2 linked regions of the Caenorhabditis elegans genome follow. The protein of the gene in region 1 interacts with the protein of each later gene in a pairwise test. Each region holds a gene or a part of one and is shown on either strand. Other genes may lie near its edges.

Region 1 (8,187 bases):
TGTAAAATATTTTGTTTCCGATCAAGGGTGCTGGCGAATATCCCGCTATCGCTCGTCTCTGCAGTTGCCATTGCCAGGAAAATCCATGATTGAAATGTTCTCAACTTTTTAATTTATTCAAGTTGTTATACAGACCGAAAAATTCGAAAACTCATTTAAATATAAAATTCATAGCTTTAAAACTTGAGCATTTCTCAGTCGGATAATTATGCGTCGCTAGTAGTTCCAAACTCATTCTCCACTGCGTCGAGGCGTTTCTGCTGCATTCTGACGACAGTCTGGCTCATATCAGCATTCGATTGGAGAGAAGAAATTGCGTGGTCCGCCTGAAAATGGTAAATTTTCTTATAATCTTTCTTTACTTTTCCGAACAAATTTTCGATTTTTCGGTTTTTTTTTTTTGTTGAGCAAAACCGAAAAAAAATCTGAAAAAACTTCAAAATCGGAATTTCTCATCAAGAATGCAATATTTTTTATTACGGTTTACGCGTATTTCATACAAAAAAACAGAAATTGCACTTTTTTGAGCAAATTTGACCGCAAAATTTTTCACTTTTCGGTTTTTCAAAAAATCGAAAACCCCGGCAGGCTTGTTTCCGAACCTTCTCCAACTCGTTCTGAAATCCCTTGACAACCTCCGCTTGTTCCGGATGTCCACGACTTTCCATTGCGATTTTCGACATCTTGGTGATTTTCTGAACATTTTTAAATATTTCAGATAATTATTTAATTGAAACCCACGTCATCATATCCTTCCAACTGTGTGATATAATGTTTGAAGGTGTCAAGAAGAGCCGAAAATTTGATATTAATCTCATCTTTATGCTTTTCAACTTTCGAGAAAACCTTGAGCGAGGTGTAGGCTTCCTGAAAAAAAAGATTAATTATTTCTCTTATTATGGGAACATTTAATTCTGAGAATGCGTATTGTACAACATATTTGACGCGCAAAATATCTCGAAGCAAAAACTACAGTAATTCTTTAAAAGACTACTGTAGTGTTGATTTACGGGCTCGATTTTCGAATCAATTTTCTGTTCGAAGTGTGCTTTAATAAATGATTTCCGTAAATCGATACAAACGCTACAGTAGTAATTTAAAGAATTACTGTAGTTTTCGCTTCGAGATATTTTGCGCGTCAAATATGCTGTATTATCAGAATTTTGTGTTCTCGTAATAAAGGCTGGTTCACAAAATTACCCAAAATTACCGAATTTTTCTTTTTCTTTATAAATTATGTCGGTTTTAAAAATTGGGAAAATACATTTTTTCTTGCTAAAACCTCAAATTTTGAAAGCTTTACAAAGTCAGAACTTGCAGAAGTCAGTTTTCATTTATTTATCACATTTTACTACACATTTTGGTCGATTTTTGTGCATTGCGACCGAAAATGTAAGAAATTGTGATAATTAAATAAAAATTTACTTCTGCAAGTTCTGAAAATACGCGTTTTTTGAGAAATTTTTGGTCTTTTTAGGTGTAAAATTAAGTTTTTACCTGAACTTGAGAATATCTGACAGTCTTGTGCTCGCCGTCAGAATGATGATGATCGACGATACAATTCGTGCAAATCGGCAGAGTTTCAAGGTCAACTGCGTCGATTTCAGTTGTTTCGAGAAGATTGTCAACGAGTTTTCCGACGACTTCAATGCATGTTTTGCAGCAGCGGAATCTGTATGGAAAAAATATTGATTTTTTTTTTGATTTTGCAGAAAAGTTAATTATTTTTGAACTCCCGCGCAAATTTTCTCGGAAATTGGCCAAAAACTCGATTTTTTGCGGAAAAAATGTCTGAAAAAATAGAAAATCTTTTTTTGCTGCAAATAAAAAATATACATACAATTTCAGGCTGAAAATTTCAGTTTTTTGAGTTTTATTGTGAATATTTTTTAGAAATTAAAAAAAAACAGTCAATTAAATTGAAAATAACGAAAAATGCTCAGCAGACGCTCCAAATATTTCAATTTTCTGTGAAAATCGGCTCCAAAATATCCAAAAAATGAGTTAAAGAACCTTTCGACGGTCTGCTTGGTCATACACTCGCTGCACGTGAGCTCAAAAATTTTCTCGACGGGCTCTTGGCATTTCGTCTCCTCGTCCTTTTTGTTGATGGCCACGAGAGCAGTGAATGATTTCTGAAATTTAATTTATTACTCAGTCGCGAAATTTTGCGCGAAACTACGGTATCAGGTCTCAACACGAAAGATTTTTGTTGAAGGCGAGAAGGTGTGCGCCTTTAAAGAGTACTGTAATTTTTGTAAATTTTGAATAAATTGACAAAAAAAGTATGGGAAAAACATCGATTTTTCATCGTTTTTCTGTCGAAAAAAAATTCCAAAAAGTGAAATTACAGGAATTTTTTTCGACAGAAAAACGAAGAAAAATCGATGTTTTTCCCATACTTTTTCTGTCAATTTGTTCAAAATTCACAAAAATTACAGTACTATTTAAAGGCGCACACCATTTCGAATCCAGCAAAAATCTTTCGTTTCGAGACCCAAAACCGTATTTTTGACGCAAAAATGACGATTTTTTACTTGATATTCCTTGTCCTTATTGGCAATTTCCAAGCACACAGACTGTACATAATCTGACATTCTTTTGATTTCCTGATCAATTCTCTTGGAAAACTCCTCTTGGACATCACTAGACTTGCTTTTTCTCATCATATCCGTCATCTTGTCGAGCTCCTGGAATTATTTGATTATTGATTGAAAAAATAATATGGAGACGCAGAAAAATGCGCCTTAAAATTTAAAAATCAACGTGGAAATGTGCTCCGCCTCCAAATTATCGGTCTCGTTAGGTATACATGGCGGCAAAACTGGAAAATTCAAAAAATTCGAATTTCAATTGTTTTATGTCGAAATTGATGAAAAAATTGTTTTTAAATGCATTTTTAACGTCATTTTTCCGTAAAAATCACGAAAAGCAACAGAAAACTTCTTCAAAGATTTTGTCACCAAATATTTTCAAAAATCAAAATTTTTCGATTTTTTTAAACGATTTTTCGTGTTCCGAGGAAAAAAAATTGAATTTTCACTAATTTCCGAAGAAAAATTAGTTTTTTAAATCGAAATCCACTTTTTTTTTTGATAAATTCATAGTATTCTTCCATTTTTTCTCCTAGATTATCTCTGAAAATATCCGAAAAATCGAAATTTTGACCGCGCACATCGATTTCAAATATCAAATCAAAATCACCGTGTGGAATGTCTTATATGTCGATGCAAACCGAGCATACCACGCATTGGTGAGCCCAAACGACGATTCGAGCTCAATTCTCAGAAGAGAAATACTTGTAAGCTGGCTTGCGAAGTTCATTCCGGACTGAAAATTTACAATTTTAAGTCTTTTCTTTACAAATAAATTTTTTAAATATACCGCAACCGGGAAATAAGCCACAGTCTCGTGGCCCTGTGTGACATGAGATCGCAGTGCACAACTTCCACAAAGCGCCAACGATTTGATATCCAAATCCACCTTAAAAAATCATTTTTCAATTTTTTTTTTTTTTTTGAAATTGGATATTTTCCGGACCTCGGCACCCAAATTCTCCACGACGTCGTATTTGAAGGCATCAGTGACGCAATTGCGGCAGACGAACATGCTGGAAATTGAATTTTTTTGTTATTTCTAATTAAAAGAGGCCTACTCCGATTCGTTGTCGTATTTGGTGCATTGAGTGCAGTCCACTGCATTTGCAGGCTTCTTTGGCTTCTCACGAAGCTTTTGGATCATGGTCACAGCATCTGAAAAATAGTTTTTTTCGGGAAATATGAATATTTTTAAAACTTGTCAATGCAAAGTTTTTTGTTCGCTTCTCCTTGCTAACCACGGCCTGAAATTATTTTATTTTTAAACAGATATCAATATATTTAAGCCATACGCGGCATGTCGGGCATTGTGTCTGGCCACCAGATCCATATGCGTCAGAATAATCGCTTTTCAAGTGCACAATGCAAGTTTCGCATAGAGAATGGCCACAAGATATGATGAATGGAGCCTTTTGATCATCTGAAAATAAAAATGTGCTTGTTTTACAATAAAAATTGGGATATTTTTCACCAAATTCTTCCTGGCACACAGGGCAAGTCGGGAGTTCTTCATTAACATCCATTTTTCTCGAAAATTCTGAAAAATAAAGTTTTTTAAATTAGAAAAATCAATATTTTTAAATTTTCGTTATTTTTAATCGTCGAATAATTGAAATTTTCGTTTAAAATTAAGGAAAAACAATTTATACAATTTATATCCGGAAAAATTAATGTTTTTGCAAATATTTGAGTTTCAAGCGTTTTCGCTTCAAGTCTCAAGGAGGATAATGTGCTTGCGCCTTTAAAAACTACAGTAAGACCTTTGTTTATTTCGTCATCGAATTTCAATGTTTTGAATCAAATTTCCCGTGATTCCGGTTTGATTTTCACAATTTTATTATGTTTTTACACTATTTAATGAATTTTAATTCAGTATATAATAAAATCCATAGATTATCCACACTGAAAATCTACCAATACCGTCAGTTTCTCAAAAAAAAAACATTTGCCCAAAAAATGCCTGTTTTCCATGGAAATTCACATTGATTTTTAATTTCACAACGTTTTTTTTGCCAATTTCTTTCCAAAATTTCTCAAAGTACTTTCGCAAACTAATCGTTCACTTTTGCGTCATGGCTCTGTGCACTGGAAACTAATTTCAAACGACGCGCGCATTGTCTTGTGCGATGGAGCGCGCTTGCTATTTTCTAAAAAGTGCTCAGTATTTTTGAAGCTTTATGGTTTTTCCTTGTATTTTGCATAATTTTAAACATTTTTCTCGAGAAAAAATATTCGAAAAAGTAGAAAACGGCTGAAATTTGGTTGTTTTTAATTTTTTCCCTCGTTCCTCAATCTTAAAATCGAAGATTTCGTCATCTCTCACTGTTTGCGCAGTGCATGATTATGATAATTAAATTCTATTGCAGAAATGTGGCGATTATACCGAAAAACGCCGAAGCAGCTGAGAAATTCGGTCGAATCATGCTTCAAATCTGTCAATTCCCGCCAATTTTCAGTCAGCTCATTTTCAGCAGTAGCCAAAGATGATGTAATATTACCGCCTGCCAGTATACTGAAAATTCTGAATTTTTTTGCAGAAATCCGTGCTAAAACAACAAGAAGTTCTGCATCTTCTCGCAAAAGATCAGCGATTTGAAGAGCGATTCTTCAATCAAGTACAGCAGACAATTCGATATTTCGCCTCGAAACCAAATGATTTGAAAAAGTTCTTCAGGAAGGAAGCATCGACGGATAATAAAGGTTTTCAGAGGGAAATTATCATTAATTCGAAGTTTTTTCCAGAATCTTCATCATCTTCTGACAAAAAGGACAGCAAAGGAAATAAGGGAGAGGATAATAATCCGTTTAATCAATTGTGAGGAGGAATAGACACAAAAATCGGCTAATTTTGGCTAAAATCTGAAATTTCGCCCAAATTATCATCATTTAGATGCTTTTCACCACGTTATTTTGTTTATTGAAGTCTCGGAGAAGCCCCGGAAATCATTTCTAGTCGAATTTCTTTGGAGTATTTCAAAAAATTGACTTTTACAGGTTTCCCGGGCCGTATTTTGAACTTTTTGGCAAAAATTGTCCCAAAGATCCGGAAAAAACTTGTAAAATCCAATATTTTTAAAATAAATTGGTGATTTTAGCTAAAATTAGCAGTTTTTTTAAAAAGTTTTATTGGCAGAGCAAAAACCGTGCCAGAGTTGCAAAAATTGGCGTTTTTAGCATTTTCTCCATTTTTCCAGATTTTCAAAAATCGAAAATTCGGGATTTCGGAATCATTTCAATAAAATTCAAAATTTAATGAAATCACGAATTTTCCAAATCGTTGAAAAAAAATTCCGAGAAAAAAAAAACAAAAAAACGCCCATTTTTGCAATTCTGGCACGGTTTTTTGCTCCGCCCACGATGTTTTTGAGCGGGGCACCACGTTTTCAAGATCTACGAGAAGAAGATCTACGTTTTCAGGATCTGGCACCGTGCCAAGTGCAGTTTTCGCAGTTTTCTCGAAGAAAATCGAAATAACGATGCTCCGATATTACGCATCGCGAGTTGTTTAGCGTTTTTCAGAAGTTTTTATTCAAAAAAGGTTTTTCTGACTAAACAACGTGCGATGCGTAATATCGGAGCATCGTTGCTTTTTCTTCGAGTAGACTGCGAAAACCGCAGTTGGCATGGTGCCAGATCCTGAAAATGTAGACCTCCTTTTCGTAGATCTCGTTTCCGGCTAGATCTTGAAAACGTGGTGCCTCTTTTGAGCACATTTACCTTTTCTAAGATTTAAAAGTGGGGTACCGAAATCTGGAAAATATTTTCAAATGTCTCCAAATTTTCTTCTCATTCCAAATATCGATGTGAAAAAAATCAAAACAATTTTCTAGATTTTATATGATTTTTTGAAAATAGGAAAAATCACAGTTTTCACCTAATTATTTTTGAATTTCCGCCAATTGGATTTGTTCGGTGGAGCGTGCTTGCAGTATTTTTATCAATTAATTTTTTTAAATTCTTGTTCTTTGACTGATTTTCTTCATTTTCTATGTTTTCTCCTCGGAAAATGGAAGAAATAAACAAGACAAATGCAAAATTCTTGTTAAAAAGTAATTGAAAATGAGTAAAACTGTGAAATATACTAATTTCAGGCTTGTTGCCGTCGGAACTCAGAATATCACAGTTTTACTCATTTTCAATTACTTTTTAACAAAAATGTTGCATTTGTCTTTTTTATTTCTTCCATTTTCCGAGGAAAAAACATAGAAAATGAAGAAAATCAGTCAAATAACGAGAATAAATAAAATTAATAAATAAAAATAATGCAAGTGCGCTCCACCGAACAAATTCAATTGGCGGAAATTCAAAAATAATTAGGTGAAAACTGTGATTTTTCCAATTTTCAAAAAATCATATAAAATCTGGAAAATTTTTTTGAATTTTAATATCATGATATTCGGTCAATGTGACCCCATAGGCGCGTTTTAAAGCAATTTACCCACTGAGCGTAGTCCACCTTTAAAAAAACGGAGAAAACCTCTAAAACCCCTTAAAATCAATCTAATTCCTCCAATTTTCAGCCCAGGAGGATGGCAACAAATTGCCGTTTCAGTTGGAATTCTGCTCGCTCTCTACGCCTTTATGGATTATCAGTCGTATCGTGAAATTTCCTGGAAGGAGTTTTACAGTGATTTCCTGGAAGCTGGACTTGTCGAGAGACTTGAAGTAGTTGATAAGCGATGGGTTCGAATTGTTAGCTCGTCTGGAAAGTATGCAGGAGTTAGTTTTTTAGTTTTTGCACTGAAATTCGTGAAAAAATGAATTTTTTTCTTTCAGCAAACGTGCTATTTCAACATCGGAAGTGTGGATAGCTTCGAACGGAGCCTCGGAGCTGCTCAGCATCATCTCCAGTATGATGCTGATCGACAAATTCCGGTTTTATATAAATCTGAATTCAATTTGTAAGGATTTCTGCAAAAATCACTCCATTTCAAGAAAAATTAGAGAAAAAAAGAAAAAACCCCCGATTTTCTTAAAGAAAAAGCTCTGGGAAATGGGAAAAGTTATAATTTTTGCATGAAAATTCAGAAAAACTTTTAATTTTTCACATTTTTTGTAGTTAAAATTTTGTTTTTAAAGTGAAAACCTTCAGAAAGTCACTGAAAATGAAAATTTTGCACAAAAATTATGGAAAAAGTTGCTTTTTGCTCGTTTTTTGCACTAAAATTTCAAAAAAAAAATCCGATTTTTCTGATTTTTTGCCTGAAAATTTCAAAAACAAAAATTAATTTTGCTGGTTTTTTGCAGAAAAATTTTTAAAAAAACGCAGTTAGGCTGTTTTTTGCCTAAAAATTCGAGAAAATCTCAATTTTGCTGAATTTTTGCACTAAAAGTCTTTTAAAAAATCCGATGTTTCTGATTTTTTGCCAAAAAATTCAAAAAAAAAAATTTTGCTGATTTGTTGCACTAAAATTCCAAAAAAAACTCAATTTAGCCAATTTTTTGCACTAAAATTCCAAAAAAATCCGATTTTTCTGATTTTTTTGCACTAAAATTTCAACAAATATCAATTTTGCTGAATTTTTGCAGAAAAAATTTAAAAAATCGCAGTTAGGCTGTGTTTTGCCTAAAAATTCCAAAAAAAAATCCG
Region 2 (3,203 bases), on another chromosome or scaffold:
TCATTAATTACACTGGTTTCCACATTTGTGATCAGAGTTTCAATTTCTCGATTCAAGAAAAACGACGATTTTTCCACTTTATTAATCCGCCAGTCGAGTCCTCGTTCGTTGCCAGTGAGCTTGTCGTGTTTCTTTAAAATCTTCCGAAATCCGGTAGCATTCAATTGCTGAAAGTTCTGAACCAGCACCAGAGAAAGATAAAACTCGGAGAATGCGAGTTTCAGCTGCTGCTCATTCCGTGTGGTCTCCTTATGGAATTTGTCTTTTCCTCCGAACCTTCTACGGATCCCTGTGGTATCGCTGCGAGACCCAAGAACATCCTTGAACACTTGTAGTTCGGTTTGAAGCTCGTGATGTTTTCCCTGTCCTTCAGCGATTTTTTGCGAGAAGAATAGGTTGATCTTGGTGAGCTCTTGGTCGCACTCGTTGAAAAATTTCTCGTCGAGCCGGGAAATGTGCTCTTCTCGGCGGTCATCGTCGGCGGGAACCTCCATCATATCATCGTATAATAGATTTTTGAGCCGCTCATAGTCAATGTATTGTTTCCGCCACTCGGGCGTCAAGTGGCTCGCTAGTTGCTCGCCGAACTTCATCTAAAATCGGGAAAATGGGAATAACTTACAACACGGCCATCGCCGGAGCCTAAATCAATGAGCGTTCCCTTCTTGTTGCTGTTGCTGCTCGTGGCGAGTGAAAGTGCGCGGGAGACGTTCGCGAGCTGCTCCGTCGTTGCTGGGACGTACGGAATGCAGACGCGTCGCAGAGCGGGCGCCACGAACGGAATTGCGGCCGCCGAGATGGCGAGCGCCGTTGCGCCAGCCACACCGGCAATCACCAGACCTGTGTTCATGCCCATACTGCAAAAAAACACAATCTCGAGGGGAACACTCATTGATTTAAATCATGATTTTTTATTTGTTTTAAAATTTATTATTTTTAAGTTTAAATTATCTTTATTTTTCAAAGGATTATTGTTTTTGAATATTTAAAATTAAAATTCATACCCACCTTTATTCTTCAATCGATTTTCTTCGGAATAAGATGAAGTTTCTCATCAACGATTCAAATTTTCTACCTGAAAACAGAAAAAAAATGTTTAAAACGATTTTCAGGCCTAAAACAGTGCAAAACACTGGAAATATATCGATTTACGCATAAATTGCACTCGACAGAATCAAAATTTAAATTCGTACTTTTCGCGAAAAAGAGATAGACAACGAAATTCGATAAGGGCACATGCGACTAAAAATCGGGAGCTCAGTGCACCGGAAGTGCGCAAGCAGTTGATGATTGCGCAAACGAGTGGCTACTGGCGCGTTTTCGGATGGGTCGGATTTATTTTCTGCAATTTCTGTGCGATTTTTATTAATTTTTTGCGTTTCCCACCGTATTTTCCAACCAAATTTCTGAATTTTTATATAAAATTGTCGTAATTTGCATGGTTCCGACGTTGAAAATCACCAAAACCCAGGTTAAAATTCGTTTTTTAAAAAGGGGGTTTACTTTATAAAGATATGCAATTTTGGAATTTCAGTTTTGCTAATTTTTCGTGGTTTCTTAGAGTTTTTCTATTGAAGATTGTTAAAGATCTTGTAAAGAAGATGTTAAGTCGGTAAACATTGCAAAACTTTTAATTTTCCTCAATTTTCGCTAATTTTTTGCGTTTCTTTATGATTTTTATTTTAAAATTAGGTTTTTCGGGTATCGATTTGTTAATTTTTTAGCTAAAAATATATTACATAAACAAAAGTTTCTTCAAACTTATATTTCTCTCTTATTCCGATTAAAAACTAAATTACCTTTCAACTTCCAGGTAAATATGTTGTCCAGAACACTCCGACCGATCTCCAAGGTGCTCAGAAGCAGCGCGAAGTACTCCCAGGCCGCAGGTAATCTGAAAATTAAGATTTTCCTCAAAATCATATCAAAATTTTCAGGTCTTCCATTAAACGAGGGAAGCCCGGCACCATTGCCATCAGAAGACAGAGCAATCTCCGCAAAAGTCAGCTCGTTGGTTGAAGAAATCGCGAATCTCAGCCTGCTCGACGTCTCCGATCTTAACTGGGCTCTCAAGAAGCGGCTCAACATTCCAGATCAACCATTGATGGCTGCTGCCGCTGCTGCTCCAGCCGCTCAGGGTAAACATTATTTATTATAGTTTAATAAAATTATTTATTTATTTTCATTATTTTTCAGCCGAAGCGGAAGCCGCATCAGACGTTCCACAAAAAATGACATTCACTGTGAAATTAACGAAATTCGATGATACCAAGAAGATCGCAATCATCAAGGAGATCCGTAACGCCATTCCAGGCCTCAATCTCGTTCAGGCCAAGAAGTTTGTGGAAACCGCACCGGTAAATGTTAAGGAGGATCTTGGAAAGGCAGAAGCCGATGAGTTGAAGGCTATTCTGGAGAAGGCTGGAGCTACCATTGAAATTGTTTAATTTTTTGTTCTATATTTCCCTCTTTTCATTTGTTGTGTTCTCATTTTCTTCAAATTTTTCGTAGATAGTGTAGCATTTCTTTTTGTTAAGTTTTATTTTATTTTATGGAAAAATAATTAATTTCAAAAATAATTAAATTTACACCCGGCAAGAAGAGAAATACACGTCCCATGATAGAAATACTATTGGATAGATTCTGGAGAAGCTGCTGGAGAAGATCAAAAATCGGTAGTCTCATTTGAAGAAGTGTCAAGACCTGCAATTTGGGAAAATTACCGGAAGCCTGTATGGGTACAAACCTCCGCGTCCGAATACTTTCAGCGACATTCCGAATTGAAGAACTCGCATATCCTTTTCGGATAATTGGCCGAACGAGATCGCGTGGTCGGAACATTTTCCGGCTTTTGTGGGACTTGAACGGAACAATTTCGAGTCTGGCGCAATTATTTGTTTTGGTGGAAGATCGTTGAATAGTCGGAGAGCATCTTCATCAAATGGATCAGCTATCTGGACACCGTACTTCTCGCTGCAGTCGTAGAGAGCGAAATCCGAGGCTCGCGAGAAGAAAAATCCTCTGAAAATCATGAAATCAAACATTTTTAGAATTTATTCGGGAGTTTTCCAGAAGTAATTCTCTGATTTTCGATTTTTTAGTCTTCAAAAACTTTCGGTAATTTTGCAAATTAAATTTGTTACACTGATGCAAAACTTTGCGATATTTGCCCCAGAATTACGGTACCCGGTCTTGATACGACA

What was found.
Region 2: the proteins of Y47G6A.14 (region 1) and mrpl-12 interact in a two-hybrid assay, tested with the Caenorhabditis elegans proteins (2 studies listed by BioGRID).

Annotation. Positions count from the first base shown.
Region 1 is NC_003279.8:3,462,169-3,470,355, forward strand, and holds Y47G6A.14 (RING-type domain-containing protein), read right to left. Parts: upstream 6,020-8,187; 5' UTR 5,954-6,019; intron 5,413-5,953; coding exon of another isoform or gene 5,340-5,412; intron 5,298-5,339; coding exon of another isoform or gene 5,135-5,297; intron 5,086-5,134; coding exon of another isoform or gene 4,966-5,085; exon of another isoform or gene 4,964-4,965; intron 4,135-4,963; 5' UTR 4,121-4,134; coding exon 4,069-4,120; intron 4,018-4,068; coding exon 3,890-4,017; intron 3,842-3,889; coding exon 3,796-3,841; intron 3,753-3,795; coding exon 3,656-3,752; intron 3,611-3,655; coding exon 3,541-3,610; intron 3,484-3,540; coding exon 3,385-3,483; intron 3,331-3,384; coding exon 3,205-3,330; intron 2,691-3,204; coding exon 2,538-2,690; intron 2,136-2,537; coding exon 2,014-2,135; intron 1,673-2,013; coding exon 1,498-1,672; intron 868-1,497; coding exon 742-867; intron 696-741; coding exon 603-695; intron 327-602; coding exon 207-326; 3' UTR 102-206; downstream 1-101. Other genes in the region: AFG3-like protein spg-7, read left to right, coding at 4,966-5,085, 5,135-5,297, 5,340-5,412, 7,118-7,316, 7,374-7,498.
Region 2 is NC_003281.10:10,705,948-10,709,150, forward strand, and holds mrpl-12 (Mitochondrial Ribosomal Protein, Large), read left to right. Parts: upstream 1-1,813; 5' UTR 1,814-1,819; coding exon 1,820-1,889; intron 1,890-1,937; coding exon 1,938-2,138; intron 2,139-2,196; coding exon 2,197-2,447; 3' UTR 2,448-2,574; downstream 2,575-3,203. Other genes in the region: Y39A1A.21 (ATP synthase subunit C lysine N-methyltransferase), read right to left, coding at 623-856; Y39A1A.22 (Xenotropic and polytropic retrovirus receptor 1 homolog), read right to left, coding at 1-593; W09D10.5 (N-acetylgalactosaminide beta-1,3-galactosyltransferase), read right to left, coding at 2,666-2,703, 2,747-3,021.